Lepisosteus oculatus: one gene and its partner. The protein of the gene in region 1 purifies or fractionates together with the protein of each later gene. This does not show direct contact. Links are inferred from orthologs where the notes say so. Each region holds a gene or a part of one and is shown in the gene's direction. Other genes may lie near its edges.

Region 1 (11,204 bases):
TTTGTTGTTGCTTTTTGGGGGGATTTTTTTGCGCTTTCTCTCGGCCAGTATTTGCAGTCTAAAAGGTCACATTAATTTCAAGGGACGCCAGAGAAAGGGTAGCTTGTCTGAAAGGATGCACCTCAAAGAGGAAAATCATCCTCACTAAGGGCTAGTTAAAATTAGGTACTGAAAGGACTTTCAAGGTACAGTTTCTTTCAGAGCTAGGAATGCATTTTGTTCTGTACGTAAATGTTTCTGTACGACCCTCACGTTTAAACGTTTTAATGACATATTAAATCTTAAAATGTTTTATAACACCACAAGTGGAACAAAATAATCGCATAAAATACCAAATAAACTGGCAATAACACAATTCAATGTTCATAATTCACAGTACAGTTTGATATTTTAAACAAAATTAGAGCGCAAATCCTAATATGTTCTTTGTTCGTTTCTAACAATACAATGAAACATCGTATTGCCTTTGTAAGGCAAATATGTGTTATAATTAAATTTTATATGTCCCTCTAGTGTGCATGATCATGATAATGGGAATCAACCGTGAAGCTATGAAAAAGTTCACAATACAAAGAGTCGCGAGTTTATGGAACAAAACTGATCCAAGGTTCTGAAGTTTCTGTAATAGGGCACTCCTAGCTAAATAAAACAGAGCTGAATCCCGGAGAGTCCCGATCCAGTTAGTTTCACTGGTCACCAGTTTAAGATAATGAATTACATAATTTTAAAAAGCACCTGTTTAATTTAATTTATCACAGCAGAATTGCTGCATGTCTTTCAGCTTCGGTTTAATGGTGACCTACAAAACAATTGGACCGTGCCTCTCCAGAACCAACGTTGTATGTCAATCAAGGACTTGACGCTTCGGTAGAGTATCACGATACAATTACAGCAATTTTCACCTGGTTCACGCGATTTCATTTTAGTTGTGATTTTCTGATTAATGCTTCAGCGTCGGTGCCCTATGACAACTCATTTTAATCTTGGCTTTAGCACTGCAATATCATTCTACCCGCCCAGTGGCTTTGACCGGCGCTTTCCGTATTTGCGGAATTCGACGTTACAACGCAGACGTTACAATCTTTTTTTTTAACCGTCAACTGAGTTTGTATACTTGCTGTATTTCTAGATATAAAAAGAAAACCCAGATGCGACGGTCAGCAGTATATTTAGTTCTATGTTGCAATTCAGAAGGTTACCTTGGTTAATTTAAAAATAAAGCACAAACCCCACATACAGCAGCTTGTACTGTAGTGGGGCTGAATTACTGTAAGGATAAAGCGCAACCGAGTGCTCTTCAGTAGGGACGCCGCGGGGCGCAAATGAGCCGTGACTGTGTCTGTAAACAAGCTTGTGAATATAAAAAAGGTGAGATACGACTGCTTATGAGCTCTTCTCGTAATGACCGCTGGTTCTGCTTAATGAATAACTGTGTGAGGGTCAGCGTCTTTTCCGCAGAAGAGTAACTTGGTAATTTTCTGTTCATTATGATGGACACCAGTCCGCATTATACACGCGACCAGGGGCTGTGAAGCGTTCGACTTTTGAGTGGCGTGAAATTGATAATATAACTTTTAAAAGGCCTGCCTTATGAAAATAAATCTTTACTCGCAGAACTTTCTACCACCAGAAAAATCGTTCTCCGCTATTGTAAGCCGTCATTGTTTCTCCTGATTGACCTTGGTTGGACCAAGAGGAATATTGGCATTGGTGCGCATCCCGAATTGCACACCTGAGCTATTTCTCATTTCAGCTTCCTTCGTCAAATAAACTGGCTTGTCTGTGTCCAAGAGCTCTTTGTATCCTGCATCTTCCTTCGACAGATGTGAACTTTGAAGTTGTGTACTGTACCATATAGTAGGCAATCATGGGGCTGACAATGATAGTTAATTAGCCTGGCCCAAAATTGGTTGGTGAGCTGTTGTTGGGTCTATCATTATTGTTAACCAGCCACATTTGAGTTTTGACTACAATTAATGACCTTTTTTATTGAAGAGAACAATATTGTTTGTCTTCTTTTTAGATCTTTTATTAAAGTTATTTATGTTGAAGGGGGAGGCACAGTGGTTAGCATTCCTGCCTCACAGTGCTGGGGCCCTGGGTTCAATTCCAGACCTGGGGTGCTGTCTGTGTGGAGTTTGTATGGTCTCCCCATGTTTTCTAGGTTTCCTCTGGGTGCGCCGTTTTCCTCCCTCAGTCCAGAGACATCCTGGTAGGTTAATTGGCTTCTGGGAGAATTGGCCCCATTGTCAGTGCTTGTGTGTGTTCCCTGTGATGGACTGGCATCTCGTCCACGTTGTACCCTGCCTTGCACCTATTGCTTGCTGGGATAAACTCTGGCTCCCCAGTGACCCTTTACTGGAGACAGTGATTAGAAAATGAGTGAATGGATTTATGTCAAAATTAATGTCTTTAAGAATTTCTTAGGGTGATTAACAGAATAGAAATTAATGATAATCATAGGATATTGACAGTGGAGCTAGTCCATCTCCACAACTTCAACAGCTTGGTGCATGAAGACGTCTGTGAATTTGCTGCTAATCGCTTGCATAATAAGAATAATAAGATAAGGGTAAAAAGAACAGGGGGGTTTCACTATGTTTAAATAATGTACTGCATGTGACTTGTGCAGTTTTTCTGTCTTTGCAAAGCTTTGATCAACATGCTTTACTGCACTCAACTATGACAGCAGCCTGCTAGTATTTACCAAAGCAGATGTTTAGAAGGGTTGTGTAGACTTAATGTCATGGGTAACTGAGAATTTGTCAATCCAGTTTATTTTCTAAAGCACTTCTCTGAAAGATCAAGAATCTCGCTTTGGCAGTCCTTTTGAACTTTGCCATAGTGTATTGACACGTGACAGTTTTTTTTTCCTACGGAAGGCAATTAAAATAATGTTTTCATAGTGTGATGTTTAGTGTCAGAAATAAAAACAAATCAGTAAAATTATTTTTAATCACTTTTCATCTCCTGAAGGCAAAAGCAAAAAAAATAATAATTTTAAGCTCAAGAATAATTAATACAGCATTAACGTGGCTGTTTTCGTGAAAACCACTTCATGGTAACTATGAACTGACAAAGAGCTGTTATTCTTTCAATTACAAAAGTGCCCCAGGATACTTTTTTCAAGTTCCTATGAATGAAAGGTTTCATAATAAAGCACAAAGAAAACCTTGGCATAAATATTAATATTCCTGCTGTGCCTAATTAGTATATCAAAGAGTGGCAAAGGCCATTACTCACTCAAAAACTTGTTTCAGCTCAAACATCACTAGCGTTTTCAGCTTTAGAAGACGTTTCAGTTTTAATTTTTTAGGTGAGTTTTAATTTTGTGTCTCAGGACCAGAAGTAGCTAATGGACTGTGACCCCATGTCCTGAATTAATGAGCTCTTTGCTAGTGTAAAGATGTTCTTGGGAAGAATCTATACTTATTTTGAAGACCACTGGCTTTGACATTATTTTGGCCAAAATGGAACTCCAGACCAGTCCAGACTCCAGCTAGGATATCGTGACTCCAGAGACACTGCTAGAGCAGTGCATGGGCACCAGGACTCTCCCTTTCAACTGGAAAACCAGATACTGCTAGAGCATCAGGACAGTCTCCTGCCGGAGCGAGCCAGACACTTCTGGGGTACTGGGATTCTCCCACTCCAGAGAGCCAGACACTGCCACAGCCCTGGGACTGTCCCTCTCGCCTGGATAGAACATATTTCTCTGCCTTGGATCAGTCACTGATGGTTAAATCCAATCCAAGTACACCCTTTTCCTGGGATGCTGTTACACAGGAATGGGTTGTAATCCCCCATTCCTCAGAATTGTGTCTTGTCCACACCAAATTTAAACTCATTGAAGCCTTTCAAAAGATTAGAATCAACTGTAAAAAAGCATTAAGCTCTATTTTGAGTACACTGTGAAGTTCATGGCTCCAGAGCTAACAGGTGTACAATTCAAGTTTGTGTTTAAATCAAACCAAGAAAGAGTTATTTTTTTTTTTGCTACCAACTAACCAAAGTGTTTTCCATATCTGCTGATTTCTGTATGTGCGGAAATTACAAAACCGCATTAGCGACAGTAAAATGTGCAAAAACCTAATTAAATTCAACGGTTCAGTTTATTCTAGAAATGCTTCTTTCGAAGTGCGGGAAATACTGACGTCTACCTTACCGTACGTCCTTATGTCCACCAGAGGGCGTCTGAATTCCAGTTTTGCTCTCATCGCATAATGTTCTCATGCCTACAGTATATCTGCTAATCATGCAGCGGAGGTACAGTAGTCTTTCTGCTGGCTAGGGAAAGACTTAATGATATGTCGATGAAAAACTCAACTTTAGGGCAGTACGAGAATTGTAAATGGTGTCGATGGAAACAAAAATCTACCAAACAGCTCTTTCATGCTCTTGAGGTACAATTGTTTATGAACCAGACGTTTGGGAGAAACAATGCGCAGCGGCCCGAGCCACGAGTATTCACTGTTCAGCTTGTAAAGGTACAGTATTAACAGTGTAACTGTAAGGTTCGTAGCTTACAAGAGTGTTAGACAAGAGTGTCGTAAGTCGCTACCTATATACGATTTTATATAGGTCGGACTTTTTTGTGTAAACGTTAGTTTTCCATTTAAAACTGAATTTCACAGAAGACGTATATTCAATATAATTACATATCCTGATATCCTGTTTTGCTAACTAAAACTTATATAGCGCTTTTCTGGACACTCCACTCAAAGCGCTTTACAGGTAATGGGGTCTCCCCTCCACCACCACAAATGTGCAGCCCTACATGGATGATGCGACGGCAGCCATAGTGCGCCAGAACGCTCACCACACATCAGCTATCAGTGGGGAGGAGAGCAGAGTAATGAAGCCAATTCATAGAGGGGGATTGTTAGGAGGCCATGATTGATAAAGGCCAATGGGAAATTTGGCCAGGACGCCGGGGTTACACCCCTACTCTTTTCGAGAAACGCCCTGGGATTTTTAATGACCACAGAGAGTCAGGACCTCGGTTTTACGTCTCATCCGAAGGACGGCACCTGTTTACAGTATAGTGTCCCCGTCACTACACTGGGGCATTACAGTAGGACCCACATGAGCCGCAGGGTGAGCGCCCCCTGCTAGCCCCACTAACACCCCTTCCAGCAGCAACCTTAGTTTTTCCCCAGGAGGTCTCCCATCCAGGTACTGACCAGGCTCACACCTGCTGAGCTTCAGTGGGCTGCCAGTTGTGAGTTGCAGGGTGATATGGCTGCTGGCATTGCAGGGTGATATGATGGGTGACGCACTGTAGCCATTGTGCACCAGCAGCCACAATGTAAATATGAAAACCCTAACAAACCCAGAATGGCATTTTTCCGAAACTCCTGGTTTAACGTAACTATCTTGACAGTGATCATAGTCAGAAATTTGGTTGAACGTCTCGCCCGAAACAGCACAATCTCACCGCTCAACAAAAGATGGGGAAATTAGTTTGGAAATTCTGGTACTGAGGATAGGGCAACACCTAGTGGTCCACTGAGACCACAAACCTGATTTCACTTTGAGGACTCCCATCCCAGAACTGAGCAGTTCACTGTTTTCCACTGCCTCATGTCCTTGTAGTCTGTAGTGTGTTTTACCAACGTTAAAGTGGTTTTTAATAGATCCTGATACTGATAGGTTCACTGTTTGAAGAATTTTCAACTTTAACTCCGGTTAAATTTGAAGTAAACGACATCGGAAAATAACTCAGGAAAGTCCGTCGCTTTCTTTAGAAAGAGGCTTCTATTTAAATTCTTAATATGAAACATACATCTGTAGTGTACTGTATATAGACAGTATGCCAGGATGACTAAAGAGATAAGGGGCCCATCTCGAATCCCCATGGAGACTGGATTTCCCCTGAGACCGCATCTTTCCCGGAGGATGACTGCGTAAAGTGTCACTAGATCTTGGAGGCAAGTGTTTTTAAGACTTTAAGACTTTTCTTGCGGCTCGATTTCTTTAATTACACACCGTCCCGTGGTGTAATTCTTAATCTTTCCAACAGATAAAGTTTAAAGTTGCTCCACGCTACTGCTAGAGAGTGCTGCTTGAGTCTTAATATCCCCGAACTGTCAGATTATAAAGAAATGTAGCAATTTCAGAGATTTAGGTTCTGCTACAATTAAAACGTAAACTTGAAGGAGAACACCTTCAATTTATGGAGGATACAATGTAGCCACGAGGAACACGCAGGAAATGACTTCATCAATCAGAATTTAGCAAAAAAAATCTAAACAAAGAGACTAATCCAAACCTGTCTCCCCGCCCCTTGTCGCCCAGATGAGGTTCTGATAGGCCGATCCTTGGAAATCCCTCTTGCGGATATGCTGAATATTCCATCAATCAATTCTGTCCGTAGTTTCCGCTGGGATTTACCGTCAGATTTTTTTTAACTATTTTTTTTTGTCTTTTTGGATGGGAAAATTAAAGCAGCAGGAGCGGGACGCATGAAGGTATGTTTTCATGTCTTTTTAACTGAATTATCTATTTAATTGACTGCGATACGTTCCTAGACTGTTAATATGTACTGGTGTGATGGACCGACTAGTTACAAAGTTAGCTGGAGCCTGAATCGTTTCCTATAGAAGTCTGTTTAATAGGGTAACCACAAAACAACTAAAAAAACGGAAAGGCAGGTAAAGTAAAAAAAAAAGTGTGCAAGAATTTGCTTAAACAGATATCTTAAAACAAAATATTTTCCAAATGACTGATGTTTTCTTTTATGTAATATTGTTACAACATTACGTTTCCGATACAGTTCCAAACTGTACGATACATTTTAACAATACAACAACCAAAAGTTTATGAATAATAATGAAACATAGCACCTGGTGTTTTTGTTTAAAGATAAAACGTTCAATACAACTGAGTTAACTGGAAATATTTGAATTCAGATGTCACATTTAACAGAGGTGTTGGATAAGATTGTGTCAATATTATAACACTACCAGGTTTTATCGGTGATACAAATAATGATGGCTATATGGACAATGATGAAGACGAATAAGATCATATATAGACAATATTATTTTAAAATGGGTTATTAACAGACTGCTTTGGTTGGGGGGTACTGGTCCGAGGTAGAATTAAATAATATATCCCTTCTTCGGCTTCATTATAGTAGGCGCTTCTGACCCGTAGAGCAGTTAAAATAGCCATTCATGGTCGTCAAGTCTCAAATCTTCCACAAAGCCGCGCTTTGGGAAAGTTTTTTTTTTAATCACACTTCGCAAGTTATGAACTTGGGACAAAGCAGCACTTTACTGGGTATATTGGCAGAGGCATTAAATAATTCACACATTTTCTAGTAAAGTCTTCGCTTTGAAATCGGAGTACAGCACCGAATTTGTTTCAAGTGTTCAGATTTTTAAACAATATTCTGTTGACACGCACATTTAAGGTGTTTGTCAGCGTAAGCGTACCGTGAGATTTTCTTTTCGGATGTGCTTTTAGCAAGGTTCTGTTTTCTTTTCTCCTGCGTGTATGATACGGTTCTCTTGGCATTTCTGTTTACAGTGAAAAGGCTTAGGCATCCAATTGGGGTTTCGTGTCTGTGCGGGAGGGGCTCAAAAAGCTGATCACTGAGTGGGTAGAGTTAAAATGTCAGACTCCATTTACTTACTGAAATTCCCTACTCCTAGATACACATTGCGCTGCTGGACTTTCGGAAACCCCCTTTATTGTAGAAACAGTAGTGGTGACACGAGTTAAAAATCATAGAAGACCTAGGTTCTCATAGTTGGGTTGGCGTTTCAGTGTAATAGAACTGCTGTTAGGTTTGAATTTGCACTTGATCACTGGAGCGAGTGCCAAATCCTGTTGTGACTTGTAAACTCGGTGAACTTGATTAGGCGGCTCGGAACGAGCTGGGAGCTTTAATTGATGGACAATTAATCCATGTTTAATTAATTGTTATGGGGCTGCCCTCGCAATGATTGAAAGTGTTGCACCACTAGAAATCAAAGCTGAAAAAGAAAGCTTCATAAGCAATAAGCTGTGATACACATAGTAGACTTCCTCTCCTGCCCCACACTTCTCCCCAGTTATAGTAAAACCTAGCAGGACAGTGTAGTGAGTAGGCACAAAATAACTTTCAAGTCAAATGGTTTAGTAAAAAAAGAAACAGTTATCATGCATCATTTTATATTGTGAACAAAATTAACTAAATAAATTGTGATTTGTTTTCAGTATTAATTATGTTATCGTCAAAATTGAAAACATTACAAAGTTAAGATCAGGAATGACCCTCTTCAACATTAACACAGTCTTGGCAGCACTGACACACACACCTGATCAGCCTCTGGACAGATGGTTGTGGGAGGTCTCACCACTCTTCCTGTGCAGCTGCAGCCAGCTGGAAAAGGTTAGCTGGATGCAGTTGTCTGTTGTTGATGGCAGTGGCAACTTGGTCCCTCAGATGTTTTATTGGACTCAGATGAGGAGAAATAGCTGGTTACTGTAAGACCTCTGCAAGTCCGCAACATTGTTTTCTGGAAGTCATGTCATTGTAATCCTAGTACTGCATGGTCTCGCATTGTCCTGCTGGAAATGGACCCTTCTGGAGTATCTTGCAGGAATGGAAAAGCTGTTGGCTCAAGTATCTTTGACAATGTTTACCTGTGCAGTAGGATTTGCCATCAGTCTTCTCCAATGGTGTTCTTGTCTTAAAGTCCAATTCCTCCCCAAATCATCAGACTTCCACCACTACATAAGTTAGCTTGAAAAATGGAAGAGTCACCCTAACCTCTCTGCACACACTAACCCAGAGAAAAGATCTAGCCTACAAGATTTTCGCATTAGTAGGAAGGATGGGAAAACACAATATTTACTATTTTCAATGCGAGGTATCATTTGTCCTCATCTATCAGCTCCCCAGCTAGTAACTATGTGCATGCTAGAACAGTATGTGGCCTGAAGCTATTTTGCTGTCATCAGGTGGTTTAAAGTTTAACCACTCAAGCTTGCTTTCCACTTAGGACCATATTTTGGTTTTAATCTATGATTCTGGCTTCTCTTCCAGCCCCCAAAAGGCACCACCAGAAATAAAACCATGACATTAGGTGCAGTCTTGCTTGTGTTTATCCTGTGCAGAAGATAGTCTGGTATAGCTGCAGTCCACAAAGGGTTAAAACAAAGGGCAAAAAAGTCCATGGGGAATGACCTCATCAGTTTTGAAAACTTGCTTCTTCACTTTTGTTCTCATTCTTGGCATTTTCACAGATCACCTGGGGAGCATTCATTACCTCTTTGTGTGGACTCCTGTTTGATCCTTTTGGATTCTTATCTTTTTCTGTTGTCAATCCTAGCCAACCTCCAAACAGCATCCAGACTTAGCCTCTCAGCTATATTTGCAACATACAACATTTTGCACACTGGAGCAGTAGGGCAGCTGTGTGCCCAGATTTAGTTGATCACTGGGTCAAAAGCCTTCTACACCATCAGTATGCAATGATGACCTGAAAGATCCACTACATAATGAATGTAAATATCTCTTTTATTAAAATGTTTTTTCCACTTTTCTTCTTTGGTGGTGTTGAACTTCATCTTAAATGCAGTTCTGTATCTGTTCCAGTGCCCTCTCACTTTTTTATTAATCAAATCCTTAATTACTGTAGCTGTTACATCCGATTAGGCTTGTCTTATGTCCATTTTTAAACTGCATATTTTTCTTTTATGCTTTTCCTGTTTGGAATTGCCAATTGCTAATTTATTTATTATTTAACCATAAATGTACACATCCATTCATTATCCTACTGCTTCTTCCAATTCTGGGTCATGGGGGAGCTAGAGACTATCCTGGCAAGCAATGGGCACAAGGCAGGATACACCCTGGGCGGGACACACACAGGCACAAACACGCTCACACCATGGCCAATTTTCCCCAAAGTCCATTAACCTACTAGTATGGGGAAGAAACTGGAGCACCTGGAGTTAACCTACATGAACACAGGGAGAACATACAAACTCCACGCAGATAGCACCCCAGGTCTGGAATTGAACCACTTTTCCAGTTGTGCTGCTTGCCCATAGACATGAGCCTTTGAAACGCTCCACTGTGAGTTCCACAGGACCTTGCAGACAATATAGTGTTGACTGAGGGGCACTGTTGCATGACAAGCTAAGGCTACCATGGTTGACTAGAGTCCACCAAATCCAGTGGCCCTCAGACCAGGTCAACTGTTATTACAGTTGGCTAGCAACACACCCCAGAATTGAAATGTGGGTCTGGAGTATACAGTAGGTCTCAACCTATCCCCATCAAGAACAACTTCACTTGATAAGCTGCTCATGAGCTTCTATTTTTACATAGTTCTCAGGTCCTAAAAAGCATGACAAGTACATTTGTAAATTGAATAACTAATCTTAAATCGTCAGCTGTGACAAAAATCAAAGAGGAAATATTGAGTTAATTTGTTCACTTTAAGTAATTGCAAACTCAGAAACAAATTTACAAATCACTTGGATCAGTAGTAATAGACATAGGATTCCCTTGTGGATAGGGCAGGTCTAGGAAGACTGTCCAATATTTCCTGAGGTAGGTCCCCCAAGGATGTCCATCCCTCTGTTTACAGTGTTGTCACATTGAGCCTGTGTCTAACACAGCAGGCACAGGGAACAAGATGGGACTACCATTTACTACCTTGACAATATGCGAAGCCATCACAGCCACAGCGGCTACTCATTCACTACACATATGACAGGTGCCAATTAACCTAGACCGCAAGTGTATGGACTAAGGAAAGAAACAGAGAAGAAAAACCATGTGGACATATGTAGGACACACCTCCACAAAGAAGATGTCCCATGCCAGAAGCAAGCTCCAGATTCAAGACCTGCAAGGGAGCATCACTGACCTCCAAATTCACTTTTCATTGTGAAGCTAGACTCTACAGTCACAGACAAGTAGTGACATTCTTCATTGTAACAATGTTATTCACTAATTTCCATGGTTAATCATTATAAATATCAATCACAAAGCCAAATTATTCATTGATTCATTTTGTTTGCAAAACTACACTAATCAAAAATATGTTTTCAAGGTTGGTACCCATCAACCTAATCACATAGTAATTTGATAGTATTTGTGAAATCCTTTAATAACATATTTTCATAAAAGCGCTGATACTGTTTTTCTGTAGCCATTAGCTTTCTCAAGTAAGGAAACATACTTCTTAAAGTACTTAAGT
Region 2 (10,873 bases), on another chromosome or scaffold:
CACCCTCTGGAGCTCAGATCTTTCTTTATAGTGCTACTAGAAGAGAATGCTATATATAGTAAAACCAGAGCTATCATGGTTATAAACTACTACAATTTAATAAAAAAAATGGCTGAAGTCTTGGTTTGAATAACAAAATGTAACCAAACAAACACGAGGGGCCTCTCTCAGTTCTTATCTTTCTTAGCGTTTGTGACTAAACAAAAGGGTAATGTTTCTTTTAGGCACAGTTTTGTTTCAGTCTGTAATTTCGTTTCATTCCGTAATTTTAAACAAAGAGCAAATCCTTAAGGAAGGATGTGCAGTGAATATGAATATTCATATTCTAAAGAAAGGCTTTCCCTAAAGGTAAAGGTGTTGCTTTAGACATAAATGTGATGCGAGTTGATTAGAAGGTTAATGTCCTGCTCACAATGATATCCTTTATACCTTGGGGAATCCCTGGAGTTTTTTTAAGAAGCATGTACTTCCTGCTTATTTCCATATTTGTCCAAAAGCAATTCACATAATACCTCAGTAAGTTTAGTTTGCTCAAAGAGGCTGTGACATTGGCTTCTTGAAGACAAGCTGTGTTTTTTTTTTCCACTGGAAAAACACAGATGTACAAGTTACAGGCTTTTCACTGTTAGGACAGGTAAAAAGATTACAAGTGAAAGAGAGAGAACAGTCAATTACTTTTTACCACAAGCAAGCCTTGAATGGGAAATACCTTTCTCGTGGAACTAGAATTCTATGTAATGGCTGTAGACAATGGAGGTTCAATGGGGAGGAAAACATCTTTAATTAAAACATCAGGAAGCTTGTCTATTTAGCTGGTAAAATGCTTTACATCAGGCAACACTAGCTTTAATTACTTCCAAAATACTTGTTTGCTGTTTTCAAAACCAAACATAACTTTCGCTTTAATAAGCCCACAGTGCCATCTCCTGTCTGTGGAAGGAATGCAGTAAACTAGTGTTACAGTCATGTAGAAAATGAGTTAAAGGGTTTTGGTATAGCTATCAGGGCAGGGCAGCAGCTCAGTAGTTACCATTGCTGGTTCTCAGTGCTGGGGCCTGGGATTCAATTCTAGACCTGTGGTACTATTTGTGGGGAGCTTGTAAGTTGTACTTGTGTTTACACAGGTTTCCTCTGGGTGCTCTGGTTTCCTCCCACAGTCATACTCATTCAAAACATATTGGTAGGTTATTTGGTTTCTGGAAAACTTAACTCTGGAACCCTGGGGTGAGCATAAGTTGTGTGAGTGTGTCTGTGTGTGCCCTATAACGGGGTGATATCCCATCCAGTGTGTATCCTGTATCATGTCCGTTCTTCGATGAAATATGCTCCAGTTTTCCCATGACCCTGGAGTGGATAAACTAGTTAGAAAATAGATGGCACCTACTGCAACTGAAGGACAAATATCATATATTTGGAAAGTAGGAATATATAGGACTGTAGGAAAGTCCTCCTGTTTTTCCATGTGAAAACGTTCCAGGAGGGTGTAGGGTATCCAGAAGCAGCTCCAGTCCTAACCTTCTCCCCTATCCTCCACTAACTACCTCCACTGAACTACACTACAAACCTGCACATTACCTGACTTTGAACTTTGTTCAATACAAAGCACAAAACTGCTGTGCTGGAGGGGCTATGAAATTGAAAAAGTGCCTTATATTGTGATTTTTTTCACCTCATAACTTAGTGCTTTATCTTAATATTTTGTATGACCCTTAGTTATGAAACTTGTGTACTGTTCAAATTTGTGGTGTCTATTCGTTTAGAACAGGGGTCTCCAAACCTGTGGTCCCCTATTTTTAAAGGGAAACTGAAGTCTCGATTTCTGAGAGCTATTATTAAATCTCGGTAACAAAATAAATTCATTGACAGCATGGAAAAAAAATTACAAGTTTCGAATTCCAAATTCATTAACTTTGTGAAAGTACTGTAAGTCTCCATGTTGTTGCAAACCCCTGGTCTCACCGTCAGACAAGAGCGAGATTTTGTAAGAATTGTGATGTGATGCAGCCCTTCCTGCTCACTAGTCACTGTAATGACTAATGTAATATGATGTACAGTAAGAACGCATACATACAGATTGTGTAGCAGACATTTCTCGGCAGAAGTGTTCCAACGTGGTCTGCATGCAGAGTTAACAAGTAAGTACTATTTGTCGGCAAAACCGTCTCGAAATAGAGAGCAATATTTCTGTTGGATTACAAGAGATGTATTCACAAGCCTGCTAGTTAACAATGTAATAGGGCTGGTTCATGTCATTGGCTGTTTTGTTGCCTCATTCTGAATTGCAGAATATGACTGGGTGCACCTGGAAATTTAGTCTATTTGATGTAGGTTGGAGGTTTGAAAGTTACTGTGTACATTTTACATTTATTATGGTTTGAAATATTCTTTCTTACACCGAACTTTAGAAAATATGGTTGCAACTACCCCCTTTCAAAACAAAGCAGGTGATAAATCAAAAAATGAATCTGCTCAATCAAGAATACTTAATTTTTATCATTAAATCGCTTAATTTCTCAAATCACCTGTTTAATCTATCGCAGTTGATCTATGGCTTTAGAAATTGGTAATTTAATGGTGACTTACAAAACCTCCTGAATTGGGGCTGCCTAGAATCAGGGTTCAAGACCCTTGTTTTAAAATGTAAGTTTAATAAAAGGAAAACTTTGCTAAGGTTATTCGTGCAAGACAAGGCACAGTCAGAATAATGGAAATGTTTTTTAAAAAATCTAATATGGTCACCACATTGTGACCTAGAGTCTGACCTTTTTACCTGTTACTATTGCCAATGGAATTATGAAAGCATGTTTCATTGGTTAATTATAGGGATTTTATAGTCATTAAATTATTTTTCACTACAAAATCTATAATAATAAATAGGTCTTCAGGAACTCTGTTGCTAAGCCCCCTAATAAATTGGACATACTGTACAAACAACCTGTCGTCTGAACTACTGTAGACATCAGGTTCAGTTGGGGATTTGACGTTTATATTCTATTTAGAAGAATAATGCAAATATTCCTTGGCTCTGTTCTTTCTCTATATGCGACCATGCTATTTAATTTTGACTTTATGCCAGCAGAGCGTAATCACAGAATTGCGTGCTTCAAATCACATCTTCAGCTGTTAAACGCACGACGCAGTCCTGTTAAGGAGATGCGAGCGGTTGGAGAGTTTGTCAGGCAGGGAGTTCCCTTTTCATTGTGATTTAAGTTAAACATGTTACTTCATTCCACCTCCAAAGACCAGACATTACTGAAAGAACAGAATCAAAGCGGTAATTCTGAGGCAAAAACGCTAAAGTTATTTAACAAACGTCTCCACAGCCCACCACATTCTCCAGTCAGCTCACCATAGAATATATAATTAACTAATACAATACTAAAAACATATGCAGTTTATAATGTTACTGTCTTAAATTGCTGTTTTGTCATTCACAATAAAACATACTGTACTTCTTGAACTGTACCGTCATCAACCAGCAGATGGAGACAAACGTTTAAAACCTAACATTTGTTTTCGGAAGTGGCGTTGTTTTAGATCCGTACTAATGCACTGATACTTGATGTAGCCTGTGCTGTTTCTTCGTTGGGCTGTAGGTGGCGTACGAGTGTTATTATACAATATAATAATAATAATAATAATAATTGCTTACACTTATATAGCACTTTTCTGGACACTCCACTCAAAGCGCTTTACAGGTAATGGGGACTCCCCTCCACCACCACCAATGTGCAGCATCCACCTGGATGATGTGACGGCAGCCATAGTGCACCAGAACACTCACCACACATCAGCTATCAGTCGGGAGGAGAGCAGAGAGTAATGAAGCCAATTCATAGATGGGGATTATTAGGAGGCCATGATTGGTAAGGGCCAATGGGAAATTTAGCCAGGACACCTGGGTTACACCCCTACTCTTTTCAAGAAATGCCCTGGGATTTTTAATGACCACAGAGAGTCAGGACCTCGGTTTAACGTCTCATCCGAAGGACGGCGCCTGTTTACAGTATAGTGTCCCCGTCACTATACTGGGGCATTAGGACCCACATGGACCACAGGGTGAGCACCCCCTCCCATCCAGGTGCTGACCAGGCTCACACCTGCTTAGCTTCAGTGGGTTGCCAGTTGTGAGTTGCAGGGTGATATGGCAGCTGATATATTATATTATAAGTATCTTTATAATAGGATATGGTGTGCGTTAGAAACGCAAAAAACGAAGGTTTGTACTTTTAGATGAGTGTTTTGGAGGATTTGACGGTGCTCACATAAATTCAGAAGAATGAGAAGATGGGTCTTTGCTTTTTTTAGTCCCCTAAATGTCTAGGGTGAGGTACAAACCCCCAGACTCTGCTATACAGACAGATACTTTGTAAGCATATGGGCCACTAACACTTAACATTACAAGCACCATGAACAGGCAATTAAGCATACTCACAAGACCTTTGAACCCTTCACTCAGTCTGGACTGTCACAGTACTGTATGATAATGAAGTCCACTAGTACTTAAAATCAATTAGAGCCCAGCTGCAGTCCCATCTCCTACCTCTAGGAGTCCTCATTCTTCATTCTACTGTGTTCATAGGACACGAATGCCCCCAAACTGATGTCAGATGCTTTTGTTCCAGTGCTAAACGTAGAGAGTATTTTATTCTCTGATAGTATCTTTAATTATGAGTAAGAACTAAGCCTTTTTTCTTAAACGTATCTTACTGAGACATTTCTTAGTCTGACCTCGCTGTGACATTCACATTTCCTGCTGTGTTGACCAGCTTGTGAGCTGTCCTTTGTAGTCATACAACCTACTTTGCCTTGACGTCTTTAAATAATTTTTAAAGGATGAAGATAATAATGTGGGTTTCTCAATTTCTTCTCGTACAGATATTGTTGTGCCTGTACTTGACAGTTTTGGCTTCAGATCAGACAGGTGTGTGCTGCTTGTCTGTACAAAAGAAACACACCTTACCGCTGGGCTCGTAACAGCGGGGTATGATGAGGATCAAGCAAACACCATGGAGCAGGTTGGATACAGGGGGAAATCTCTTCCACAAGTCCTTTTAAAAATAAAATCCAACCAAAACATCAACAAAGATAAAAGACAATTATTCTATCAAGAGGTTCAGAACTGCCATGCTTCTCGATACATTAACTTCTTTTAATTCACTGGAATTTTAATTAACTGGGATTTAATGGAAGCAGGTGGCGGGCTGTTTTATACTTCCATTAATATTTTTAAAATAAGGCATTATGAATCTTATCAATGTAATAAAAGTAAATCAATGTACAGTATTTTAATGAGAAAGGTGTGACCATGTACAGTATCTTTATAGAAGATTTGCTTATATACCGTTTGGAAAACGGAAGTAAGGCGAAGCAGTAAAAAAATAAATTAGTGCTCCCGAAAAAATAGAAAAAAATAAAACTGGTGAAATGTAAAAAATATCATATGGATTGAGGGGAAAGCCTGAGCCTAAAAAACATCAATACTAAAACGAAAACGAGAGCAATAGTTTTAGATTTAGCTGAAGAGTAAATCTTTCTTCCTAATATTTTATTTCCTGACACCTTTGATTAATGAAATGTAATGTTTCGTAGTAATGTTAGTTCATGCACTGTGTCCCCTTTTATACAAAAATCCCAATAATCTCTCAACGTTTTTTGTCATACATAAAATGTATTTGTCAACGTTGTACATCCTTTCAGACGAACTCTTTTGCTCATCAAAATGTGGGTTTATTTTTAATCCCCCAGTTGCTCCCTTTTCTGGCATATTCGATCACTTTTTAGCTGCAGAGCATTTCTAGAACTGAGAAAGAAATCTTAACTCAAGTTTGCGTCCTTCTTGGTGTCTTAAAGTACCACGGCTGTTAATTCAAAACTTTAATTCAGTTTAAATGACCACTAACTAAATCATTGCTATTTAAAAAAAAGAACTGTGAAACGGCCTGCTAAACAATATTTATCGTTGTTTGTGTCGAGCTCGTATCGCCGAAAGCCTTGAAGTGCGACTCTTACAGACGATGAGAGAAGGGCACATCAAGCAGTAACTGATGTGCACTGTAATCAGGCCTGTCCTGTCGGGAAGCGCTACGTTAGCAAGGTATAATGGTAAAACACGCCTCTCGCAATCCCGCACACACTGTAGTCCCTAGCAGCAGCGGCAAGCGATGACGTCTGTGAATGTGGTGTGTGTTGACTCTGGCTCAATAACACGGCTCCACCCAATTTAACACAGCGAGCAAGTAGCTACTTTAGGAAGCCAAACATGGCGTTTGCATCTCAGTTCTGAGATGCTGTTCAAGTGTTGCTTCGTGAAGAAAACACGAGAACAGCACCTAGGAGGTCACAAAAGCGACCGTAAAGCAAAAGGGCGCAGTGAACTGACAATCAGCCGACAAGGCATGGGAGCTTGGGCAGACTAGCAGTGAAGAGGGGTCTAGGCTTAAGCAAAGTTAAGCGGGGGGATAGCTGCAGTGTATGTAAGGGAATAATAATACTAGTGAGAAAACTTTCAGGCACGCACAGCGTTGCGACAGCTGCTCCTCGTTTATTTGCTTGGTGCAGCCTAAAAGCAGGAGAGAGGCTAAAAGGAGAATATAGCGCTGCTTTGGGGGAAAATATATCATTTTGGACTGGACGTGAAGATGGCCCACTCGCCGGTAGCAGTCCAAGTGCCAGGGATGCAGGTAAGTAAGGCCTCGTTATACAAACTTCACCTACGGCACTGGAAATTGCCCACACAGCACAGGAATTGCGCATATGCGGCTCCTGTTGACTCCGAGCGCTTCAAACCGGCGGATTGGCAGCCAGTTTGCTAGCCCTGGCTTTATTAAACAAAAGCCCAAAGCCGTGGCGTTATCACAGTCATTTTAAAATTTGTTTTCAACGGTTCGGTTTCTGAATCATCACCGTGGTACAAAACGGGAAACGAGAATTATTCTTGTTCAATGGGTCTAAACCACACAGATTAGCCGATCACTCGCGTACTCTAAAATATTGGCAACGCAAGCGCATCCCCATAATGTATTTGTGAACTTTGAAGTTTCTCTCGGCTTCTGTGGTCATGCAGCCTTTGTGATTAAACTGTGCGATTTATCTGCGCCGAAAATAACTTGCTGCGTTTTAGAGTCGCCTCCTTTTCTCCTGTTTTTGAACTTCGGCCAGCCGTTAATTTTAGCCTGGTCTAAAACTTTACGTACAAATCAATTAGCTAGGATCTTCCGTATTGTCAAGTTGGCTGTGTGCGCCTTAGTGAAGAAGAGAGGACAAAATAAACCCTGCTATTTGTCGTGATGGTACAGGTTTGCATTATACATTTGTGCACTATGATCGCTGTAAACAGAGACGATTCAGGTGTTTCGGTAGTAGTACAGGGTACGATTAACTGGTACTTAATGTACCTTAAAAGCACAGGAATGGTTGTAATTCAAATGTCAAGTACAGGTTTAATGTAATCGGAACTGAAATCCCAACAAAAATGTAGTTTTTATTTATCGTTGTGACGTATTTTTATTGTTTTACTGTTGTCGATGAAGAATGTGTCGGTTAGACGTTGTTCCTACGTTTTATTACAGAGCGGGCAGGCAATGTTTAAATGGGCTTTAAGGTACTAGTTACGTGCTTATAGCGAGTCTCCGGGCATGTTAGTGTCTGCTTGTCTGCCCTTGGTACATGTGATCCAGGACAGTTAAAATTACGTAGGCTTCCTTTTTTTCACGAATGTTTTGCCACACACTTTCCAACCGTCCGTGGACGTCTGCCTTCCAGCCGGAAGCATTGGCTAGTCGTTTCAGTTTGAATTCCCTGTATACTGTAAAACCTAGCCACCTCCGGGCACACTTAAGCGAGCATTGTGGAGTTTAAGAGAAACCACAAGAGCAATCTGTAAGCCCTGGTAAAGTTTTAAGCCTCACACACCCAACAGGTGTAATTATTTCTGCTGACCAGGCATTCATTAGTCACACCCATTATTAATAATTAATGGGGAAGATCCACTTGTTATAGATGGAGAAATACCCTCATCTTGGTTAAGTTGATCTGACAGTTCCAAATAAGGTACTGAAGTGCCAATCAGCGTTATTAAGATGGTCATTACAGCAGTGTAAATGGCTTGCATTTAAGAATTTTTATTTGGTGTTGTATTTTACGAATGGTTTATGGTCTTCAGTTTGATCGGATTGTGTTGAGTCATTGCCCCTGAAACTAATTGGAGTTACTCATTGCTGGGCAGTTACAAGCTACAGGACACTGTAGCTAAGGAGTGGCTTGAGATTTATTACTGGATTAGAGAACAGCAACATGCCCAATCTGTTTTATGATTTAGGTGTGCCCCTTTCCTATAATTACCATTCAGTTAAAAAAGAAAGTGAAAGCAGCTGTGAATCTTCAGGTTTTTCTTCTTGAAGTTGATCATTTAAATCCGTTTATGATAAACCCTTTCCCTGTCTGTAATAATGTAATAGCATGCCCATGGTGGATTAGACTCCTGGAAATTAGTTTTGTGTGTATGTGAGCCTTTTCATGAAATAGTCACCAGTCTTTTTTACTAATTTAATTGTGTATGAGAGACCTTTCCCCTGTCCTTGTTTGACGGTGGGGAGTGAAGCTGGTAGCTGTGCTTTGCCTAGGATAGAACAGCTATTTAATTTAATGCTATCACTTTAAATAAATTCTCTGACCCCCTGCCAGACTGAGAATATAATTAACAGGTGTTAGAATTTGTTTAAACAGAACAGTACATTTTACAAAGGTGTAGGTGTAGAAGCGAGCCTGATAATGGTTTAAGTAAATCATGTATCAAGCAAGACTTAAGGTATACATGTATGCTGTACATACAGTAAATAGACATCCTAGTCTGCACTAAACGCATGATTATTAATGATTATTACAAAGAACTGTCTAACCATGGGTAGGTGATTTGTAGTATTCTCCTTGGCCTTCCATTGAGGAGCAGAGCCCTTTCGCAGTGCATTGAAAACATCTGGAAACCTGAAGTATTTGCAACCTGCTCCCGGCACATATTTTCAAAGGGGGAGTTCCAGGTTCCAGGGAATTAGTTTAATTGGACACAGGAGAAGGACAGCACCCTGATCGTTTGTTTTTGTACACTTTAGGATAGAGCAAGCCTTGTGTGCTTTTTGATCACCATCTGGACAGCCTCAAATACCCAACTGCTCACAATCAGTTAATTTCTCCCCGTCCTCCATCTGCACAATAAACTCTCATATCTTATCTCAGGTGTCCACAAAGAGCTGATCTTCCCCATTACTTCCAGGCAGCCCAGCTGAGTTTATAGGTACTTTTTGAAATCAATACCTGCTTAAAGACGGTAAATTCACTTAAAAGAACCTTTTCAACTTCAGTAAGTATGTATCAGAATAATAGTAAAGCTTTTGAAAAGGGACAGATAGTAGGACTGTAAGTCATTCAGAGTGGAGCTCCAGAATTATTTGAAAACTGCAAAATATGACAAGAATTAATACATTATCTGTATGGTATGTAACCAGGATTACCAATCCTGGTCTGTGGAATCCAACTTCTGATCTTTATTCCAACTGAGCTATTGAACCATTAATTAAAGTAATTTGCTGTTTTGGTCCTTTTGAATTTTTCCAGCTCTAAAACTACTGGAGATTGTAAGTTTTATATACTGTATATTTATAAAAGCACAAGTCATTTGAAATTTACAATATGTTTGGAGATCATTTGCAATTGTTTTAAAATTATAATCAGGGGTTCATGTGACTAGTATATACTGTACTGTATGTATGCTGAAGAAAATGAAAGTGTACCTCTCCCTTGAAGGTAACATTGCTGGCAGCAATGTAGGCAAGTATCCTTTTCTGAAAATAAATTGATTATGATCTTGAAAACGGCAAACAATGAAATCCTTCACCATTTCAGTATGTATGCCAGGGTTTCCTTTGGCTGTATATGAGCCAGATAGGCTACCTGCCTAAAAATCAGTACTGCCGGGCCAAACAAATTTATGAGTGCAGACAAAATGTACACAAGAATTCAAATTGAAACGCTGGTTCATAATAAGAGACTGCATGATCATTTGCTTGCCAACAGCCACGATAGTGTATAATCTCATAGCTCTTAAGTGTCGCCCCTTGGAACCAAATCTTGATATTTGCTAGTAAACAAGTCGAGGTTGTTAAAGAAAATGAAGTAATGAATATAAGATTGTTGTAGAAACACATGATTCCATTAATAAGCCAAGAGTTTTTTGCGTGTAATTAAAAAAAATCCATCAATACAAATAGTATCTGATCTAGATTTTCAATGGGAAATCTCATGCATTAGGGTTTTGGATCCTTGAGAGCTATGTTATAAGACAGAGAAAAAAAATGCAGGGTTTCCTTGCAGCTGAATCATCAGATCAGGCAAATACTGCGTCCTTTTGTCTCTTGCCACTTAATTTTCAAAATGAAAACGTGGCTTATTGCCTCAGTGAGCACAAACTAATTAATGGTGCCTCAATAAAAAAAAAACACTTGATGCAGATAGAAAACAGCTATGTGATTCAAGGGCCAAACTTTTCCCTAGGCAGCATCATGGGTAGCCTGCATCTCTGATGAATTCTGTACAATTAAACTAGCGGTTTTAGCCTAATAACATCTTGTTTAGGATAATTGTTTTAGTGACAATAACAATAGCTAGTTGGTTCTCTAGTTCGTATAGTAATCTAGCTGTTAAATAGCTGGGGGCAGGGATAGGATACCACATGGCCTAAGCTTTTTTCCTGCAGGTGACCCTACATGCGTACCCCTGTATATTATTCACGGTTGCATTATGTAATGGAGAGCTCAGCTGGAGTGAATGGGCGCAGTGTGGTGGCTCTGTAGCTAAGGATCTGCGTCTGTGCCGGTTC

Evidence for each region. The genes of interacting proteins can lie anywhere in the genome.
Region 2: the proteins of cttnbp2nlb (region 1) and stk26 purify together in Homo sapiens (affinity purification with mass spectrometry; 4 studies listed by BioGRID and IntAct, with this or other methods). This does not show direct contact. The link is inferred for Lepisosteus oculatus from reciprocal best matches to the Homo sapiens genes CTTNBP2NL and STK26.

The regions. Positions count from the first base shown.
Region 1 is NC_090700.1:31,688,057-31,699,260, reverse strand, and holds the start of cttnbp2nlb (CTTNBP2 N-terminal-like protein), read left to right. Parts: upstream 1-6,382; 5' UTR 6,383-6,464; coding exon 6,465-6,470; intron 6,471-11,204. UniProt on the Homo sapiens protein: Regulates lamellipodial actin dynamics in a CTTN-dependent manner. Associates with core striatin-interacting phosphatase and kinase (STRIPAK) complex to form CTTNBP2NL-STRIPAK complexes.
Region 2 is NC_090703.1:39,094,233-39,105,105, forward strand, and holds the start of stk26 (serine/threonine-protein kinase 26), read left to right. Parts: upstream 1-6,155; 5' UTR 6,156-6,641; coding exon 6,642-6,683; intron 6,684-10,873. UniProt on the Homo sapiens protein: Serine/threonine-protein kinase that acts as a mediator of cell growth. Modulates apoptosis. In association with STK24 negatively regulates Golgi reorientation in polarized cell migration upon RHO activation.